3 linked regions of the Mus musculus genome follow. The protein of the gene in region 2 interacts with the protein of the main gene of each other region in a pairwise test. Links are inferred from orthologs where the notes say so. Each region holds a gene or a part of one and is shown on either strand. Other genes may lie near its edges.

Region 1 (6,337 bases), on a different chromosome or scaffold from region 2:
AAATCCCTAGATACAAGGGAAATGGTGCTTGTTACTCAAGGGATTTAGATGCAATACATGGGGTTAGGGTCAGACTCCCGCTGTATATATAAATTGGGGTGCTCTAGGAGTCTTGCGGCTAAGTTAGCAAAGTAGGTAAATTCAGTGACCACCAGGAAGGGCCTATCTGTCACTTAAGGGATGGGGAGGGAAATCAAGAACATCCCCATAGGGTAAGGCACCTCTGTGCATCCAACTGAGAGCTCAGTGGTTGGGAGGCTTGGAGTCTCTTCCAGAAAGGAGGATGTATTTGGCGATCCCTGAGTTGAGGAGGGTACTGCCTGTCACTCTACGCATGGGGGCGGGTCCTGAAGACTCCGGGACAACCAAGCCCGGTTAGGGAAAGCCCCATGTACATGGGTAGGACGCGAAGCCGGGTTGCGGAAGCTCACCACATGCTCATCGCTGGAGTCAGACTCGGAACTGGAGTCGCCACCGACGTCCGGATCTCCATAGCGATCTTTCACTGTGGAATATACACGGGGTTCCTCATAGCTACCATCACCAGACCCAGTTCCCCACACCTTGGCCTGCGCAGGCGCCCCTCACTCACGTCGCTGAAGTTCCTCACGCTCGCGGTAACGGCTGTAGCGCGCAGCAAACGCTGCGTTCACCTTTAGGCACCCAGAGGCGCGCGGTTCCGGCATGGCGGCTGTGAGACCTAGCGCGCACGCGTGCAACCGCCCCTCCGGGGTGTGGCTTCTCTCCGGCACGCCCCCTGAGGGCTTTTCTTAAGGAGCATGTCCACTGCAGACGCAGTTTGCTCCACCCTCCGTTCTTCCAGGATCCCGTAGGCCTTTTGCTCAGCAGGCCACACCCACCGGGACAAGCCTCTGCGGGGAAAGGCCACAAGCCACCGCCCACCCTTCTCCACCCTGACGGCTCCCGGCACCCAGCTGACATCTGGGGGCCCCTTTCTACACTCGCGGTTTCCTGCCTCTCTTCCGTTCCGACAGCACCCGACCGCTGCCCCACCCAACTCAGTTACCCTGACGCCCTGGGAATGACCGTGTCGACAACCCCAGCACCCTACACCATCCATAGTCCCATCCTACCCTCCGAATACCCACCCCATTCCAGACTCCTAAATCTGAAGTCATCATCGCTGTCTTAGTTTAATGGGCCAAAACATAAAATAATCACACAAAACAATTTCTTTCCATAAAGCAATAAATATTTATATTTCAAACTCTGTACAACAGACTGGAAACCTTCCAAGAAAGAAAAATGAACTCATGTTATCCTTTTAATTGATTTGAAATGCTTTCCCTTCCCCCTCACATGCCCAAAGTAGATGGCTCACACTTCAGGGCTCTCTGAGCACAGCCTGCCAAGGTCACCAGCTTCCAAGGGGCCCGGGAAGTGATGACCTCACTCTGAGGCTAGGGCTTTAAACCCCTGCCCTGGTGCAGCCCCAGTGCAGAGGAAACTGAACCGTTTAGATGGCTGTTGCCTGTAGGAGCCCCTTCTTTGTCCAACACACCAAAAGGGGTGAGAAAAACAAATGAGAAACACCCCCCAAACACACACACTCAAGAAATCAACACCAATAAACCACAAACTGCTCCTCCCACTCCCTTCTTCAATGGACAGGTGTGAAAAGAGAAAGTTTCTTTCCTCTTTTGTTGACAAGTAACCCAGTAAGGCTGGAGACAGTGGCCTTGGGTCACATTGGGATCATCATGTGCCCCTGCAGAATGTCCATGAGGTTCTGAGCCCCTCTCTGCCGAGCCAACTCCAGGGGAGTGAGACCGGAAGCGTCCCTGTGGTGGAGATCAGATTCAGGAGCTAGGAAGCTGACCACGGAGCTATGGCCCTCTCTTATCGCCAGATGGATGGGGAGCGACCCAGTGCTGTCCAGGGCATTGACATCAGCACCATGCTCCACCAGAACCTTCAGGGTGTCCAGGAACCCGGTGCGAGCCGCATCATGCACAGGACTAGTACCGGAGGCATCTTGGACATTGGGGCTGGCACCTTGCTTCAGGAGCTCCAAAGCAACTGCTGGACTTCCAAACATCATGACCTATGGGGGTGGGGAGGAGAAAGTCAGGAGGTTCCCATTGGAGAAGGGTCAGGTAGAATAAAGAGGTCTACCACAAATCCAGAGCACAGAGAAGGGATCCTTAGGGAATGGGGACGCCCCCAGGAAAGTCAGGACCCAAGGGATCAGACTGGGACCCCAGAGAACAGGTTCTTTGAAAATAAGGACACCCCCACACACACACCTTCTAAGCCCCACCCCCATCCTTGTCGGAGACAGGATGTCTTTCTGGATGTCCTGGAATTCTCTCTGTAGACCAGGTTGGTCTCAAATTCTCAGAGATCCACCTGCATCTGCCTCCCAAGTGCTGGGATTAAAGATTAAGTGCTGGATTAATTTGTGTCACTACTGTGTAGCCCAAAGTTCTCTTAAGAACAACAACACAACAACAAAAAGCCCTAACTATAAAAGTGACTCTCATGAAAACATTAAAAAGCCAGGCATAGTGACGCTTTCATAATCCCAGGACCTCAGAGGCTCAGGCAGGAGGACAGTCTCAAGTTCAAGGCCAGTCTGAGATGCAAAGTGAGACTTTGTCTCAGAAATAAAAAAAGAAAATGAAGAAGCAAGAGAAGTAAAGAGAATGGATGAGAAAGGGAACCGGGCCAGGCAGTGGTGGCGCACGCCTTTAATCCCAGCACTCGGGAGGCAGAGGCAGGCAGATTTCTGTGTTCAAGGCCAGCCTGGTCTACAGAGTGAGTTTCAGGACAGCCAGGGCTACACTGAAAAACCCTGTCTTGAAGAGAGAGAGAGAGAGAGAGAACCAGGAAGGCGTCTAAAGCCTCTTTGAGGCCAGAGCAGTCCCATATCATTAGGGCTGTAAAGCCCCTTCAACACTACAATCTGGGAACTACATAGAATTTTTGAGAAAGAGATGCTCTAGACAATTTGGATCCCCTTTGTCGAGAAATAACTTCCTTAGACATAGGCATGATCTTCAGAATGTATGAGTACCCATGAAAAGGTGGGACTCTCCTATAAATGCCACCCAAATTACGGGACCTTCAAGCAATAAGGAATCGTTTTTGTTACTAGGCACGCAGAAGATACAAAAGGGGAAAAAATCTACATCACCTGCCGAAATGAAGATGTCCCTGAAATAACCAGAGATCCTTCAAGAGGGCACCTCAAAAAAAAAAAAAAAAAAGGCTATCTCCCTTGGAGAAGACATGCATGCCATCTTCCAGAGATCGAATATCTTTAAGGAGCCTCAAGAAATATGAGCTGTCCTCAAGGACTGGCACGAAAAGAAGATGAACCCACAGAATAAAGGTCTGCAGGGAAACTGAATCTGTCAGGCTATTAGACAAGAGCTGAAAAGCCATCCCCTCCCCCATCGCATCCTCACCACCCACCCAACATCAGAGCAAGCAAGGACTAAACCTTAAGGGATCACCAACCCGGGTCAGGAGACTTGTAGGGATGGGGTGTGGGGGCCGGGTGCCAGCCAGGCCTCACCTGCAAGGCCGTCTTGCCAAAGCGGTTCAGGGCGTCAGGATGCACCAGCTCCCGGTGAAGAAGGCGGCGGACCTCTTGCACGTCGCCACGGGCCGCTGCGCCACTCAACCGGTCGCCGACGCAGACTTCTTCCAGAAGCATAGTGGATACCGGTGGACTGTGAAACCCACCCAGCCCCAAGCCCAGTTAAGGTCAGGGCTGGGGAACCAGCAAGAGCTGGATCAGAACTCTAGGGACTGCGGTGCCACCAGGGCCAACTCTATGATCATTTGCCGGCCTCAGAGCCTGCGCCCTCCGCCCGTACGACCCCAGCGCTCGCAGCTAGCTCCTCCCCCTGTCACCGAGAGAGGCAGCGGGGAACCCCGCCCAGCCCTTCGGCGCCCGCCCCTTGGGCCGGGTCTCCCCAGACTCACCCTCCCTCCTTTCCTTGCGCGGGCGGGGTCTGCTCTGAGCCGGCACTGTACTGGCCGCCAGAGTCAGCCGCTAGTGGGCGAGGCAAGCCCGCCCCAGGCCCCGCCCAGAGCGCCCTTGTTTTCTTACAAACTCGCAACAGAGTAGCGAGAGCCACTTTGCCCAGAGCCCGACCTCCATTAGTCCCGCCTGCTGGGAATAACAGCCAATCAGCACGCGTTGCTGGGGAGGTTTGTCTCTCCCGTAGCAGTGGCGTGGCTCCTGATTGGTCAGCGTGCAGCGACCAGTGGAGCTGCCCGCCACAGCAGGAATTTTGGTTTTTCAAAACCGGCGGGCGGGCGGGAAAGAGGAGGAGGTTTAACTGACCCCAGCGGAGAGGCTGGAGACAGGCTGGCGCGGGCCCATCTTGGATCTTTAGCGCCTCCGGGAGGAAGGGAGGCAGGACTGGAAACTCCTATAACTGGAACATTTTAGTCATTCACGGACCGCGGAAATGCTAATAAGCAAGCTCTTACTGTGAAACTCGGAGCTTAGTTCATTCATTCGACTGCTGGGTTAAAGGAACGGCTTCTGAGTGGTAAAGCGCGGTGCCTTCTAACATTTTTGTTTGGTTGGCTGGTTTTGGTTTTTTCGAGACAGGGTTTCTCTGTGTATCCCCGGCTGTCCTGGAACTCACTCTGTAGACCAGGCTGGCCTCGAACTCAAAAATCCGCCTGCCTCTGCCTCCCAAATGCTGGGATTAAAGGCCACCACCGCCCGACTTTTGTTTGTTTTTATGTTTCTGCGGCAGGGTCTCTCTGTGTAGCCTTGGCTGGCCTGAAACTTATTTGATCTGTTTGAACTCAAAATCCACCTGCCTCCTCTGCCATTCGTGCTGGGATTAAAGGAATGGGCTACCAAGATGGTCTCCTTTAATTTATTTACTTATTTATTTATTTATTTATTTATTTATTTATTTATTTATAGAACCTGAAAGATGGATCAATGCTTTTGTAGAAGATTTAGGATTCAATATCAGCAACCATGTGACAGTTTAGCCATCAGTAACTCCAGCTTCAGAGATCCAACACCCTCTTCTGACCTATACCAACATGGTGCACATATAGACAATCAAATAGCCACATATTGTAATAATTCTCTTTTAGATTTTTCTACGTTTTTCAAGATAGGGTCTTAGTATGTAATTCTGGCTGTCCTAGAACTCCCTATGTAGGCCAGACTGTTCTTCACCTGCCTGCCTTTGCCTCCCAAGTGCATAGTATTAAAGGCGTGCCCCACTACTGCCTGACTCCTTTTTATTTTTTATGTGCATTGCTGTTTTGCCTGCATGCATGTCTGTGTGAGGGTGCCGAATCTAGAACTGAGCTGCCATGTGGGTGCTGGGAATTAAACCCAGGTCCTTTGGAGGAGCAAGAAGCCAGTGCTCTTAACTGGTGAGCCATCTCATTTCTCCAGTCTGGCAATTGTCTTTTTTTTTTTTTTTTTAAAGATTTATTTATTTATTATATGCAAGTACACTGTAGCTGTCCTCAGACACTCCAGAAGAGGGCGTCAGATCTTGTTACAGATTGTGAGCCACCATGTGGTTGCCGGGATTTGAACTCCGGACCTTCGGAAGAGCAGTCAGGTGCTCTTACCCGCTGAACCATCTCACCAGCCCGGCAATTATCTTTTAAGGTTTTCTTTTTTTTCTTTTTTAAGGGTCTTATATAGCCCAGGCTGGACTCCAATTGCAATATGTAGCCAAGGATAACACCCGAGCCTCTGAATGCCACTCCCAAGTGCTACTATGGTACAGTCCATGTAGTGCTGTACATGGAGCCCAGGGCTTCATGGAGGTGACGAAATCACTCTACTAACTGATCTATAAGCTACTGCCCCTAACATTTTTTTTATTGAGACAAGGTCTTTTATAGCTTAGGCTGGCCTCAAATTTACTACATCTAGACTAATCTCAAATTCCTGATCATCCTGCCTCTATCTCCTGAGTGCTGGGATTACAGGTCTCTGCCACCACGTCTATAGACTAAAGCCTATGGGGTGGGGGTGGGGGGTGGGGGGGAATGTTGTGTCTCAGGCCTTCATTCCCAGAGGCAGACGAATCTTTGAGTTCAATGCAAGTCGGGTCCACAAAGTGAGTTCCAGCACAGTTCGGGCTACACAAAGAAACCCTGTCTCGAAAACAAATGAAAATAATCCCTCCCCCTCAAAATAGACTAAAGCTAGAAATGTTAATTACTGAGAAAAGAATCATGGTCTAGCTCAGGTTAAGCAGTCCTTGTTGAACAGAAACTCGGCCTGACCAGGTCTGCCATGTGGTTCTGGGAGGTAAGTTTTACCAAGAAGCTCCTGAAGTGGCCATCTGTCCCATCCCACAGACACAGC
Region 2 (4,877 bases):
GCCTAAGGATGCTCTCCGTTTAGATTCATGTTTCTCGGGTCATCTTCACCCCCAGTGCTGGGTATCAAATCTGGAACTCAACCATTTAAGGCAAATATTCCTTCACTGAGGTATAGTGCCAGAACCTTGCCTCTAAGCCCCCAAGGGAGAGGCAGATAAACACAGGAGCTAGAGAGTTGGATAGGACCCTTGGGTACTGGTAATCACTTCAGAACAATCTACCTGCCAAGAATCCAAGGACTGTTGGCTGCATAGATCCTGCTCCTGGGGTTGGCAGACAGTAGGGGGACTCTAAGAATATAGATCCAACAAAACCCACATGAACATCAGCTAGTAGTTTTTAGACTCACCACACATCAAAACTCTCTCTGATACTAAAAGGCTAGGTCTATTCCTCTTTCTGTTCTTACAAATGTGCAAACCGAGAAGTGAGAAGCCTGGCCTAGTGGTAGAGTGCTTGTGGGGTGTCTGGGAGACCTCAGCATCACCCCTCCCACTCCATCACCCCAAAATAAAACGGAACTGGTGAGGGGACTCGGGAGGTGAAAGTGCTTTCTACTAAGCTGGATGATCTAACGTCTCTCAAAGCAGGACAGACCTGGCTTCTACAACTTGTCTTTTAACTTCCACACGCTTGCAATGGCACGTGTGCGCACACATATATACACACACATGTACTTGAGTACACTATTTTTTTCAACACAGGGTTTCTCCATGTAGCCTTGGTTGGCCTGGAACTCTATTTGTAGATCAGGCTAGCCACAAACTCAGAGATGTGCCTGCCTCCGCCTCCCGAGTACTGGGATTAAAGATGTGTGCCAATAGATATTTTTTTAAATACTTAAAAAATAGTTCTAATTCATAAATTGTCCTTTATTTATCCCCAGGTCAGAAGGCTAAGAGACAGACCTGAGACCCAAGGCCAGGTCTATCTTGCTGCTCTAGTCCCTGGGTTAGCCGCTGTCCACTGAGGTCTGGCAGCCAGCGGTAACCAGAGGCTTCCCACATTAGGAACTAGCTCCCGATGCATGTGTAGGGTGAACATCTATAATCCCAACACTCAGGAAGTGGAGATAGGAAGACTGACAGCTTGAAACTAGCCAAGCTACACAGCAAGTCTAAACCATCCGGGCACCATGGTGAGACAGGTGTTTGTGTGAGAAAGGCAAGCTAGTCCCAGAGTTCTCCTAAATGGCTGCATGAAGCAGGCTTCATCATGACCTATCACCTACAGGTAAGTAACCCAGGCTGACCAGATCACTGGCAACAGCTAAGATTTGCCCAGGGCTACTGCTGTCTCTTATATAATCATGGCAAAATGTCTAGTGCTGTCAGAAAAAGCCAGGCATGGTGGTGCACGCCTTTAATCCCAGCACTCGGGAGGCAGAGGCAGGCGGATTTCTGAGTTCGAGGCCAGCCTGGTCTACAAAGTGAGCTCCAGGACAGCCAGGGCTATACAGAGAAACCCTGTCTCGAAAAACAAAACAAAAAAACAAAAACAAAAACAAAAAAAAAAAAACAAAAAACAAAAACAGAAAAAAAGACTCAATTTCAACTACATGTCTATTTTTTATTCAATATATTAAATATATTAATCAGAAAAGTCACATCCTATAAATCCAGGAAAATACACAAATATAAATCAGAATCTGTCAATCACCTTCTTGAGTGACAGTTATGTACACATGGAAGGAGAGCGGAAGAGATCTCGAGTTGGAGGCTCGCCCAGCTGGTGGGAGCCCCACCCCTTCCTCCCAACCCCCATCTCAACCTCTTCCTTTCTGTATTTACAGTAGCGTCAGCTTATTTACAACAGAGTGGTATGTGTTAAAAATGGTTTATCTTACAAAAACACACGAAGGCCAGGACTGAGCTGGAGGGATAAGACAAATAGTGGGGTCACCCCCGTGAATACACACCCTCCCCCAGGTCTTGAGTTCTCTGTCCATCTTCTGGAGTGAGGAGGTACGTCAGTCTTAGCTCAAAACCAGGCTGGGGGTAGGGTGGTCTGGGGGTCCGTGGGCTATAGGCTTAAAGGCACATGGGTGACAGAAGAGCACGCACGTGTGCGCACACATGTTCAGGGCAGGGGTCAGAAAGACAATGTGTCCATAAAGATCTTGTCCACAATAGGTGGAGGGGGTACCAAGTCCTCCAACTTGAGGCAAAAGATGCGCTGCAGGCCTTGAGTGCACAGGGTCCGAAGCTCAGGCAGTTTGCCCAGCAGACGTGACAGGCAGCTGGCCGGCTGTGGGTCTCCTGCCACGGTAGCCATGTGCTCCTTCAGACAGCTAGCAATGCGATTCTGCAGCTCTTCCACCCGACGAGGGTCCTGGAGCCCGTGTCGATCTGCAGCAGGGAAGGTAGAGTCAGCCCCGCTCAGTTGACGCCTTCTCCCTGACAAGCTTCCCCAGCCCTCTAGCACGTCCCACAGGAGCCCACTGTCCAGACTGGTCAATATTTGAAACCACTGAATGGCTGGCCAAGGCAAAAGCCTAATCCAGGTTTTCTGGAGGTCCAGGCTCCACACTGTTCTAAAATCCTGGAGTCTCGCAGGACAGACTAAGGACGAGCTGGGTGTAGATATCACTCCCTACCCTTTCAAGATCCAGCTCCTGGTCTTGATCTACTCAGGAGGATCCCCTAAGAAATTTAAGTGGAAATGGGAGCGGAAGCAGAAGGGACCCAGAAACCTCTACATTTAACACTAGAGTCCATACCCTGTGATACGCACAGTAAAATCCATGACAGGAATGCCACTGAGGCTGGCAGAGTGGTTACCTCTTACAGAGACAATAAGGAGGGAGCCCAACAGAGCTGAAGTAGGTCCTGTTTCTGGACCATGGCGATAGCTATCCAAGCGCAGAATGTGAAAAATTCATGTGTGCACGTTCCTGTGTCTTGTGAGGTTGACAGCTAGGTTTTTAAACAAACAGAATCCCTAAGCTAGATGCCCAGCGCCTACAGTCGTACCTGAGGAGTCCGGGGTCATTCGGAGGCTGATTTAAGCTTTAGGGGCGAATAGAGCTAAGTCCCTTTGCAGGTCCTAACATCCCAATGTTGCAGGCACTCTAGGGGTCCCCAAAGTGTTAGATGCTACCTACCCAATGGTCCTGCAACCCTTGGGCCCAGTCTAGTTTCTGCCACTCACCAGTGATGAGGACCAGAGCGGACAGGCAGGCAAAGGCGGGAACATCAACACCCAAGCTGTGCAGGGACCGTGAGAAGGCCAGGATGTTGTCAATCCAATCACCAAAGCCACGGGCACACTGCAGCTGGTGTAGTACCAGGCCTGAGCAGAAGATGAGCTTCCCCTCACCGGGTTTAGATCTGGCAGAAGGCAGAGAACAGTCAGGACTCAGGGTCCAGGCAGGCCGGGGCCGCAGGGCTGGGGCCAGGGCTAGGAGGATGGTGGGCAGCTTACCGGTATGCCAGGCGGAGGATGAAGAGTTCCAGGAAGGCAGACTCTAGCAACAGGTCTTGGTCTCCTGGGCAAAGCTCAATGAAGCCAGGGATTTTTTCTGCCCACTTTCGGATAACGTCCAGGGAACCAGAGAGCAAGTCATAAAATTGTTGCACGTCACCGGCATCTTCCTTCCCGAAGCGGGGCAGCACCAGTTCCTGGAACTGAAAGGAACGCAGGTAAGTTCCACATGAGGGCCTGCACCACACAGCTGTGTCACGCACTGGCTCCACAGCAAGGCCTGCATCACACAGCTGTGTCCTGCATTGGGTCCACAGCAAAGCCTACACAAGCTGCATTACAGAGCTCTCATGCACTGGGACACCAGATCCAGGCGTGCAAAAGAGCCCTATTCTGGGCCCATGTGCTTGTCAATTCCCACAGGAAAACAGGGCTACGGCAGCTGTTTGTAACTGGCTCCCCGACCCCACACCCATCCCAATGCATTTCTCCAACTAGCCAGTACATAGAGGATGCTTGTTTCCTGATGTTGCCCTGGAGGGAGAGCCTTTCCTAACAGGCACAAAGGCATTGCATATGTTCTCAGGGCAGGGCAGATGGGCGGGCAAGACCTCACCTTGGAATAGTCCAATTTGGCAGTGCTAGGCCCGGAGTCCAAGTGTGCCCGGATGAGGGAAGTGAGAAGATTGGTAGGGGAGGCATCTGGAGGCTGCTTGGGTTTTGAAGGTAGCCGGCCCCGCCGCCCTTTTAGGCTGTCTGTCCGTACAACTGCAGAGAGACGGGCAGTATTGAGAAAGGAGACCTGGAGAAGGAGGGTCTTCAGGGCACACTATACACCCCACTTCTGAGAAGTCAGAGACAGAGAACTCAGACCATGATGGGGACCCCACAAGGCCCTCCTCACCCCACCCTTTCCAGAAAGCAGGTGGAAGCTACACCTGCATTTAGGGGCTGGAATCTAGAAGTGGGAGTGGGAATTAGGTGCAGATCCTGGTGAGCCCGGCTGTCCCACCCCATCAGGTCGCCTATGCCGAGGGCACCATCTTGCCACCCACCTTCCTTCACCATGCCCACAGCCAGGCACTTCTGGAAGCGGCAGAACTGGCAGCGGTTCCGCCGCCTCTTGTCCACAGGGCAATCCTTGTTTGCCAGGCAGATGTACTTGGCGCTTTTCTGTACTGTGCGCTGGAGGAAGGGGGGACACGGAACAGGCTGTCAGAGCATGGGGTTTGGGGGGGGGGTGGAGAGCCCAGGGGAGGGGACCGTCCAGATCCTGTGGCCGACGCAGACAAAAGCGCCCTCTGTTCATAGCTATTTTCCTAACATTTGGATGTAGGGGAGGGAGAAACGGAGGGCCAGAGCGCAGAGAGGAGTCTGGGAGATACTGGAGAAGGTTTCAACCTCACAGGGAAGATCCCAGAACCCAAGACCAGGGTCTAGGAACTCCCACGGC
Region 3 (6,433 bases), on a different chromosome or scaffold from region 2:
CTCCCTCTGTGTCTGATAGCATTGCATTTTTAATATTGGTAACCAACTCTAACTGTAAGGTGGGTGCCTTGAGGGTCAGGCCCCTACTTCAATATTTCTGGTGGATACTACTATGACAGCATAATGACTGCTCAAATGTCATTGGCTGAAGGCCTCAGGGCAGGCAGCACTCAAAATGCCAGTCACCAAGAGATTTCAGATCACCTGAAGGACAGAGAGAGAGTAGGTGCCAGGGAGGTGACCAACCTGGTCACTCTCCCCAGTGGGCTGGTGAGTGGTCCCTGGTACCAACTGGGACATCTCAACTTAGCCTAAGATAAAAGAGGTGTAGGGATATATATATATATATATCACTCTTTCCCAGCTTTTTAAACTAATTTCAAACTTAGAGCCACAGCTCAGGGCCTCCAATTTACTAGGGTTAGTGGCTATTTTACAGCCTCCATGGATCACCGTTGCCGTTCACGTGGCATGAGCCACAGTCGAGTCTCTGGATCTCATATCCGAACTCCCAGGGTCCCACTTCCGTTCCATGTTGAGCAGGAGGCTAGGGAAGGAGAAGAATGGGAACGAGAGCTACCTCGTCAGAGGCCTATCATCTACGGACCTCCAGAAAGCGAAGAGTTACAGGAAACTGTAATGAGTAAGCATATTCTCCGAGGGGCGGGGGGAGGGGGCTTCTGGGAACTGAAATATCCTGGACATATGCTTTAAGACTGAGTGAGCTCTGCTGCATCCTGACCTGTGGCACCGCATTTGGTTTTAAAACATACATACCTGGGACACACTTAAGTCACCAAACCGCCCGCTTACCCTATAATTCCTACTGGAAGAGAAAGGCTAGCCAGGAGATACCACTTTTCAGATTAGACCCTTTTATCTCTTGAGTTTTCACCAAACTGAAAAAGACTATGTCTAGAGAGAGAAGTCACGGAGTTTAGTAATAGATCGCTGTAAGGAAAAGAATATTGTTCTAATAGTCATAAAGTATATGTCAATTAAGCTTTGGGAAAGTATGGTTTGAAGGGATTAACGGATCGAACGTGTAGAGGAAGGGAGAGCAGACATAATAACGGTCCATAGTCAGAGGTTTTATATTCAAGATGGGATTAGGGAGCTCGAAAGATGACTCAGAAGTTAAGAGCACTGGACGCTCTTCCAGAGGACAAAGGTTTGATTTCCAGCACCCTCGTGGCAGCTCTCAATTGTCTGTAACTTCTGTTCCAGGGGATCTTTCAATGTCCTCCCCTGGCTTTTATGAATAGCAGGCACACAAGCAGTGAACAGACATATAGACAAAAAAAATTTAAATAGTAATTTTTCAAAACAGGATGAACAGGGTGTAAATCAGTTATGGTTTGGAGTTCATGAAGGCAGCACTAGGGCTGAGGGAGCAGACAGGTGACGTCACAATTCAGTCTGACAAGCTAAAGTGGGACTGAGCCCCTAGGCGCTGGGGCAATAACTCAAGGGCGGCTGGGCATGCCCTAGTGTATCATAGGTAGGAGAGGCAAGGCAGCAGAGGAAGAGGGCTCGATGGGTAATGGGTAGTTATGCTGTGCTATGAGGGGTGACTACGAACTTTACAGCTCTTGACTGGAAAAGCAAATCTTTGAAGCAAAATTAATTCCCCCAAACTTCTTTTTGCCTGTTGGAGGAAAATAAATGGTTAGCTATTTGCTCTCAAGTTTTTCTGGGACTGAAAAGAGCTGAAAAGATGAGTCCTGGCACTGTACAGGCAAATCACTCCGGAGGTTCAGGGGACACATACATGTCTGTTAAGTTCAGCAATTTTGTAGTGTCCATGGCCTAACCCACCCACCCCCTGCCCCCAGCCTCCTAAACCTAGAGTAATCAACAGGCCAAATATAGTCAACCAGTATATTTCAAAATAACTGTTTTGGGTGTTTCCCCATAAAAAGGTAAATGAGTTGGTGACTACATTCCATGTTATATTCATTCAGATGGTGCCCTGTAAGTGCATACAAGTATGATCTGTCAAAAACAAAAACAAAATGAGATGCATGAAAGTGACCTTAATTAGAAGTATAAATTGTGGTGGCACACGCCTTTAATCCCCAGCACTCAGGGAGGCAGGGATAAGTAGATCTCTGCTTGGTCTACAGAGCAAGTTCCAGGGCAGCCAGGGCTACACAGAGAAACCCTGTCTCAAAATAACCACGAAAAGTCTACATTTTAAGTCCTTCACAGGCACATAGGTTAGTGTGAACTTGTGAGGGGATGATGTGAGGGGTAGGGAAGCTCTGTTACAGAGATGGACTTGGAAGTACACCTTCAAGGACAGGGACAGTCAGTGCTCTGGAGATCAGTCACTAGGCACCCGTGCAAACTTCTTTTGTTAAATTGGGAAAACACTTCAGCTTGGCTCTCCTTTTGACGCAGGCGCAGAAGCCCACTGGGGGGGGCGGAGCTTGCGCCCACGTGGCGGAGGGGCGGAGTGGGGCGGAGCAAGTCTCGCGAGGCCGCGCCCTTGGTCGCGCGGTCTCCAGCGCGCCGTTTTAGCTGGCTGCCTGGCGGCAGGGGACTCTGTGCTTTAGCAGAGGGACGTGTTTTCGCGCTTGCTTGGTCATGGAGGCGCGGTCCAAGCTGCTGGACGGGACCACGGCGTCCCGTCGCTGGACCCGAAAGCTGGTGTTGCTCCTGCCGCCGCTGCTGCTGTTCCTGTTGCGGACCGAATCTCTGCAAGGCTTGGAGAGTGATGAACGGTTCCGGACCCGCGAAAATGAGTGCCACTTCTACGCTGGTGGACAAGTGTACCCCGGGGAGGCGTCCCGGGTTTCAGTCGCGGATCACTCCCTGCATCTAAGCAAAGCCAAGAGTAGGTGGTGCCTTGCGAGTTTGGGTGGAGGAGGTAGAACTCGAGGAATCTTAGACCCTAATTGTGGATGCTACAAAAGGGTGGGGCTGGAGTTGGGCCGCACCCCCCCCCCAAGGCTGCCTGGGAGTTCTCGGTCCACCCCATGCCTTTGTGGGTGTGAGGTTGGAGGTGGGTTCCTGGTGTGAAGAAAGAAATGGGTTTCTCTGAACAGATTTCGGGAGAGGTAGCGGTTACCCCCAAAGCCGCAGATGGGGGTGTTTCTAGACCCGGGCTTACAGTCGTGGAGGATGTTGTGCAAACTAAAATACTTCCTTACATATTCGAAAGTGCCTGCAGCCGTCCTATCTCTTTTTTCCAGGGAAGAAAGTACATTGATAAGTTGAATAATGATTCACAGAAAGTTTGGTTAAACAGAAAAGTGGTTAAACAAAATGGTCAGGAGGTCAAACTTTTTTTCTCTTAGCTTATAAAGATTGTTATTGAGAGTCATCTCCCCAAACTTTGTAGAGTTAATAGATGTTTATTTAAAAAAAAAAAAACAAGTCTTATGGAGTATTTTGGAGGGAAACTGGGGAAGAGGCGGAAGAGGCACAGTTGGGTTGGTGGTAAATCTTGTGTACTGCCAATTGGGCTTTTCATTATTTGTCTTTCTGTCTAGTGTTTGAAGCTAGTGGCCACTCTCAGAAAAAGACACGTCAGACTAAGAAGATAGTGAGAAAATTGAGGCCTGCTGCATCTGGATATTAAGATTGCCAAAAAAGTGATCAGGGGACACAGACACAGACCATATATTATTTGCTTTTCCCTAACCCACTTTTCCTAGGGATTATTTGGCATTCTGTGAGTGTGTGTTTGAGTTTTGGTGGTTGTGGCACATTCTGTGCTAGTATTCAGTGAAACAATAGTTATACTTAACATTTTGGGGTCAATTTTTTGGACATGGGGACTGGACAGATCTGACAAAATGGCTTCAAATTCTGTAGTCCTCCTCCTTCAGCTTGCAGAGTGCTGGATTCCAATTGTGCTCTACCACATCTGGCTACTTCACAGTTATGAACCTCTAAAGATAATGGGATGTTGCTACCACAAGCCATAAATGAAAAAGCCAAGCCGATTTGCCTCCGTAAACATTTGTAGTTTCATAGTACAAGTTAACTACTTTGGAATTGGAAGATAGATTTGCTTTAAAAATATTTCTAAGTTTCATTGACTACACTTGCATGAGGAAGATATTCTGAAATGTGCTTACTCAAATACACTTCCTGTTAGAAACAAAAACATTCCAAAGGAGATTTTTGTATTCATAAAAGGGGATATTGTAGAACAATTAAGGCTATTTTTGAATCATTCTAATAAAATGAAAAATATTATAATACATTTTTCTCAATGCAATGAGTGTTAAAAATGAGAATGCAACCTTATCCATATTTGTGTTTGGGAAAAAATGGTTGTAGTTTGAGAGACAGAACATGTAAATTGTCTTCCTTTACTTCTCTGTATTTACCAGAATTCTTATTATCAGGGTTGGGTTTGTTTGTTTGTTTTTTGTTTTTGTTTTTGTTTTTTGAGACAGGTTTTCTCTGTATAGCCCTGGCTGTCCTGGAACTCACTTTGTAGACCAGGCTGGCCTCGAACTCAGAAATCCACCTGCCTCTGCCTCCTGAGTGCTGGGATCAAAGGCGTGCGCCACCACGCCCGGCATAATCAGGGTTGTTAAGGATGTGCTAAGCGTGTTAGGAAGTGTTGCTTGCTCTGTTGAGACAGGGTTTCACTACCAGGTAGCCCTGGCTGTCCTGGAACTCTCTATGTAGACCAATCTGGCCTCGAACTCATAGAGACACACCTGCCACCTCTTTAATTCCTCCTGAATGATGGAATTAAAGGCATGCATCACCACATTTTAAAAAGTAGATGCAAAGGGCTGCTTTGAGAATTGTGTTTAAAGATCTTAGCAAAGTAACTACAATTTTTCAATCAAAAATAAAAATTTGCAATAATCAATTTTCAGGATAAGATTTTTCCTGACATGGTTTTCAGTATATGTAAAATCTTTAAGTAGTGTCATAACAAGTCATTACAGTTATTATAACCTCCTATTTAAGCATTTGAAGTATTGTATATTTTAGCACATTTCTAATTTTCTCATCTGGCCTTTTTTTCTTAACAAATTTTGATTATTTAGGTAGTTTTGACTCAAGGTAAGAAATCACATGTTATAGATTAACTTCAGGAAAATTCGTCCTCAGTTTGTCTCTGTAGTGTGATTTATTGCTGGCTTTTACACAAAAGAATGAGCGTTGATTTTTAGAAACCTTAGTCCAACTTGGAAGCAAGTATTGATCTCATTATATGTAATGGGTTTGGAAGTGTTATATGACTGTATCAATAGCAAGAGTGGACATAATTATCAAACGGTGCTGGCTAGAGTCACAGCATGCCCTTATAAGACAGCAGCACTATTAAATTGACATCAGGTCACTCGAAACCTGTTCATGGTTGGGGCGATGTCTCCTTTTTCACAGCCTTCTAGGGAAACTCCCATGATCTGGGATAATTTGAAGAAGCTAGAGTGAAATATCCAGTCCGGTTCAGTGCAGGGATAAGATTTAAGACTTTGTGGGATGGGCAGAGACATATTTCACATTTTATTCTGTCTAATGTTTGTTAATACAGTAACCATAAAAAATTCTATATAAAAAGTATTTTCACTGTTTCCTCCTATTACAGATATGTGCAATAACTCACACTCGCTCCAGAAGTACTTGATTGTACCTGTTGCCCCTGCATTGCAGAGACTTTCGTGCTGTGTAATAGCTATTGCAGGAATCCTGACAATGATATCTTACAGACTTATACGATCACTCCTACATCTTGCACCTTGATGGTGCTGTGACTAAACACACATTATTACTCCATCACTAACTTTTAAAATGTTTATACTCACATTTCTGTGTAATTGGTTTCCTTTGTAATTCTTTGTATCTTTTTATTCTCTGACAATAAGTTATTGTTCTAAGTTCTCAGAAGTCTGTGAGCTTCCAGACTTCCAATGAAGTTCAAAGATTTAGAAGTCCCAATTTTTAGTGTTTTTCTAAAACAGTCCTTGGCCATTCCAACAACTTTCTCAGTGTTATAGACCCTTGTTTTTCTTTCTTAGTCTCCAAGCCAGCACCTTATTGGGAAGGAACAGCTGTGATTAACGGAGAATTCAAGGAGCTCAAACTGACTGACTATCGTGGGAAATACTTGGTTTTTTTCTTCTACCCACTGGATTTGTAAGTAATACATACGCACAAGTAGCTACTAATAAAGTGCCAGTCTTTGTCATTTGTTATCCAAGAGCCACAAATAAGTTTTTCAGATGATGGTTCTTAATAAGGCAAGCTGAGAGAAGGAAGATAATATCTGCTACATATTTGATTCACAAAGACAAGAAAATAAACTAGTAATATTTTAGCAAATAGTTAATGTAAGAGTTAATACATAATTCTACTTACTGTAAAGATCTTGCTATTTTTATTTTCTATGTTGCTTTCCTGAGACTTGAGCATTTTAATATTAATATATTTGATATATTAATATTATATATTAATA

What was found.
Region 1: the proteins of Nr4a1 (region 2) and Cdkn2d interact in binary tests that used the Homo sapiens proteins (3 or more experiments, as listed by UniProt). The two-hybrid records come from large-scale screens. The link is inferred for Mus musculus from reciprocal best matches to the Homo sapiens genes NR4A1 and CDKN2D.
Region 3: the proteins of Nr4a1 (region 2) and Prdx4 interact in a two-hybrid assay, tested with the Homo sapiens proteins (2 studies listed by BioGRID and IntAct). The link is inferred for Mus musculus from reciprocal best matches to the Homo sapiens genes NR4A1 and PRDX4.

What each region holds. Positions count from the first base shown.
Region 1 is NC_000075.6:21,287,268-21,293,604, forward strand, and holds Cdkn2d (cyclin-dependent kinase 4 inhibitor D), read right to left. Parts: upstream 3,943-6,337; 5' UTR 3,683-3,942; coding exon 3,542-3,682; intron 2,066-3,541; coding exon 1,706-2,065; 3' UTR 1,196-1,705; downstream 1-1,195. Other genes in the region: protein KRI1 homolog, read right to left, coding at 432-505, 593-686. UniProt on the Homo sapiens protein: Interacts strongly with CDK4 and CDK6 and inhibits them.
Region 2 is NC_000081.6:101,271,468-101,276,344, reverse strand, and holds the end of Nr4a1 (nuclear receptor subfamily 4 group A member 1), read right to left. Parts: intron 4,610-4,877; coding exon 4,480-4,609; intron 4,193-4,479; coding exon 4,041-4,192; intron 3,628-4,040; coding exon 3,425-3,627; intron 3,331-3,424; coding exon 3,152-3,330; intron 2,350-3,151; coding exon 2,093-2,349; 3' UTR 1,550-2,092; downstream 1-1,549. UniProt on the Homo sapiens protein: Orphan nuclear receptor. Binds the NGFI-B response element (NBRE) 5'-AAAGGTCA-3'. Binds 9-cis-retinoic acid outside of its ligand-binding (NR LBD) domain.
Region 3 is NC_000086.7:155,334,519-155,340,951, reverse strand, and holds the start of Prdx4 (peroxiredoxin-4 isoform 2 precursor), read left to right. Parts: upstream 1-2,491; 5' UTR 2,492-2,589; coding exon 2,590-2,839; intron 2,840-5,996; coding exon 5,997-6,114; intron 6,115-6,433. UniProt on the Homo sapiens protein: Thiol-specific peroxidase that catalyzes the reduction of hydrogen peroxide and organic hydroperoxides to water and alcohols, respectively.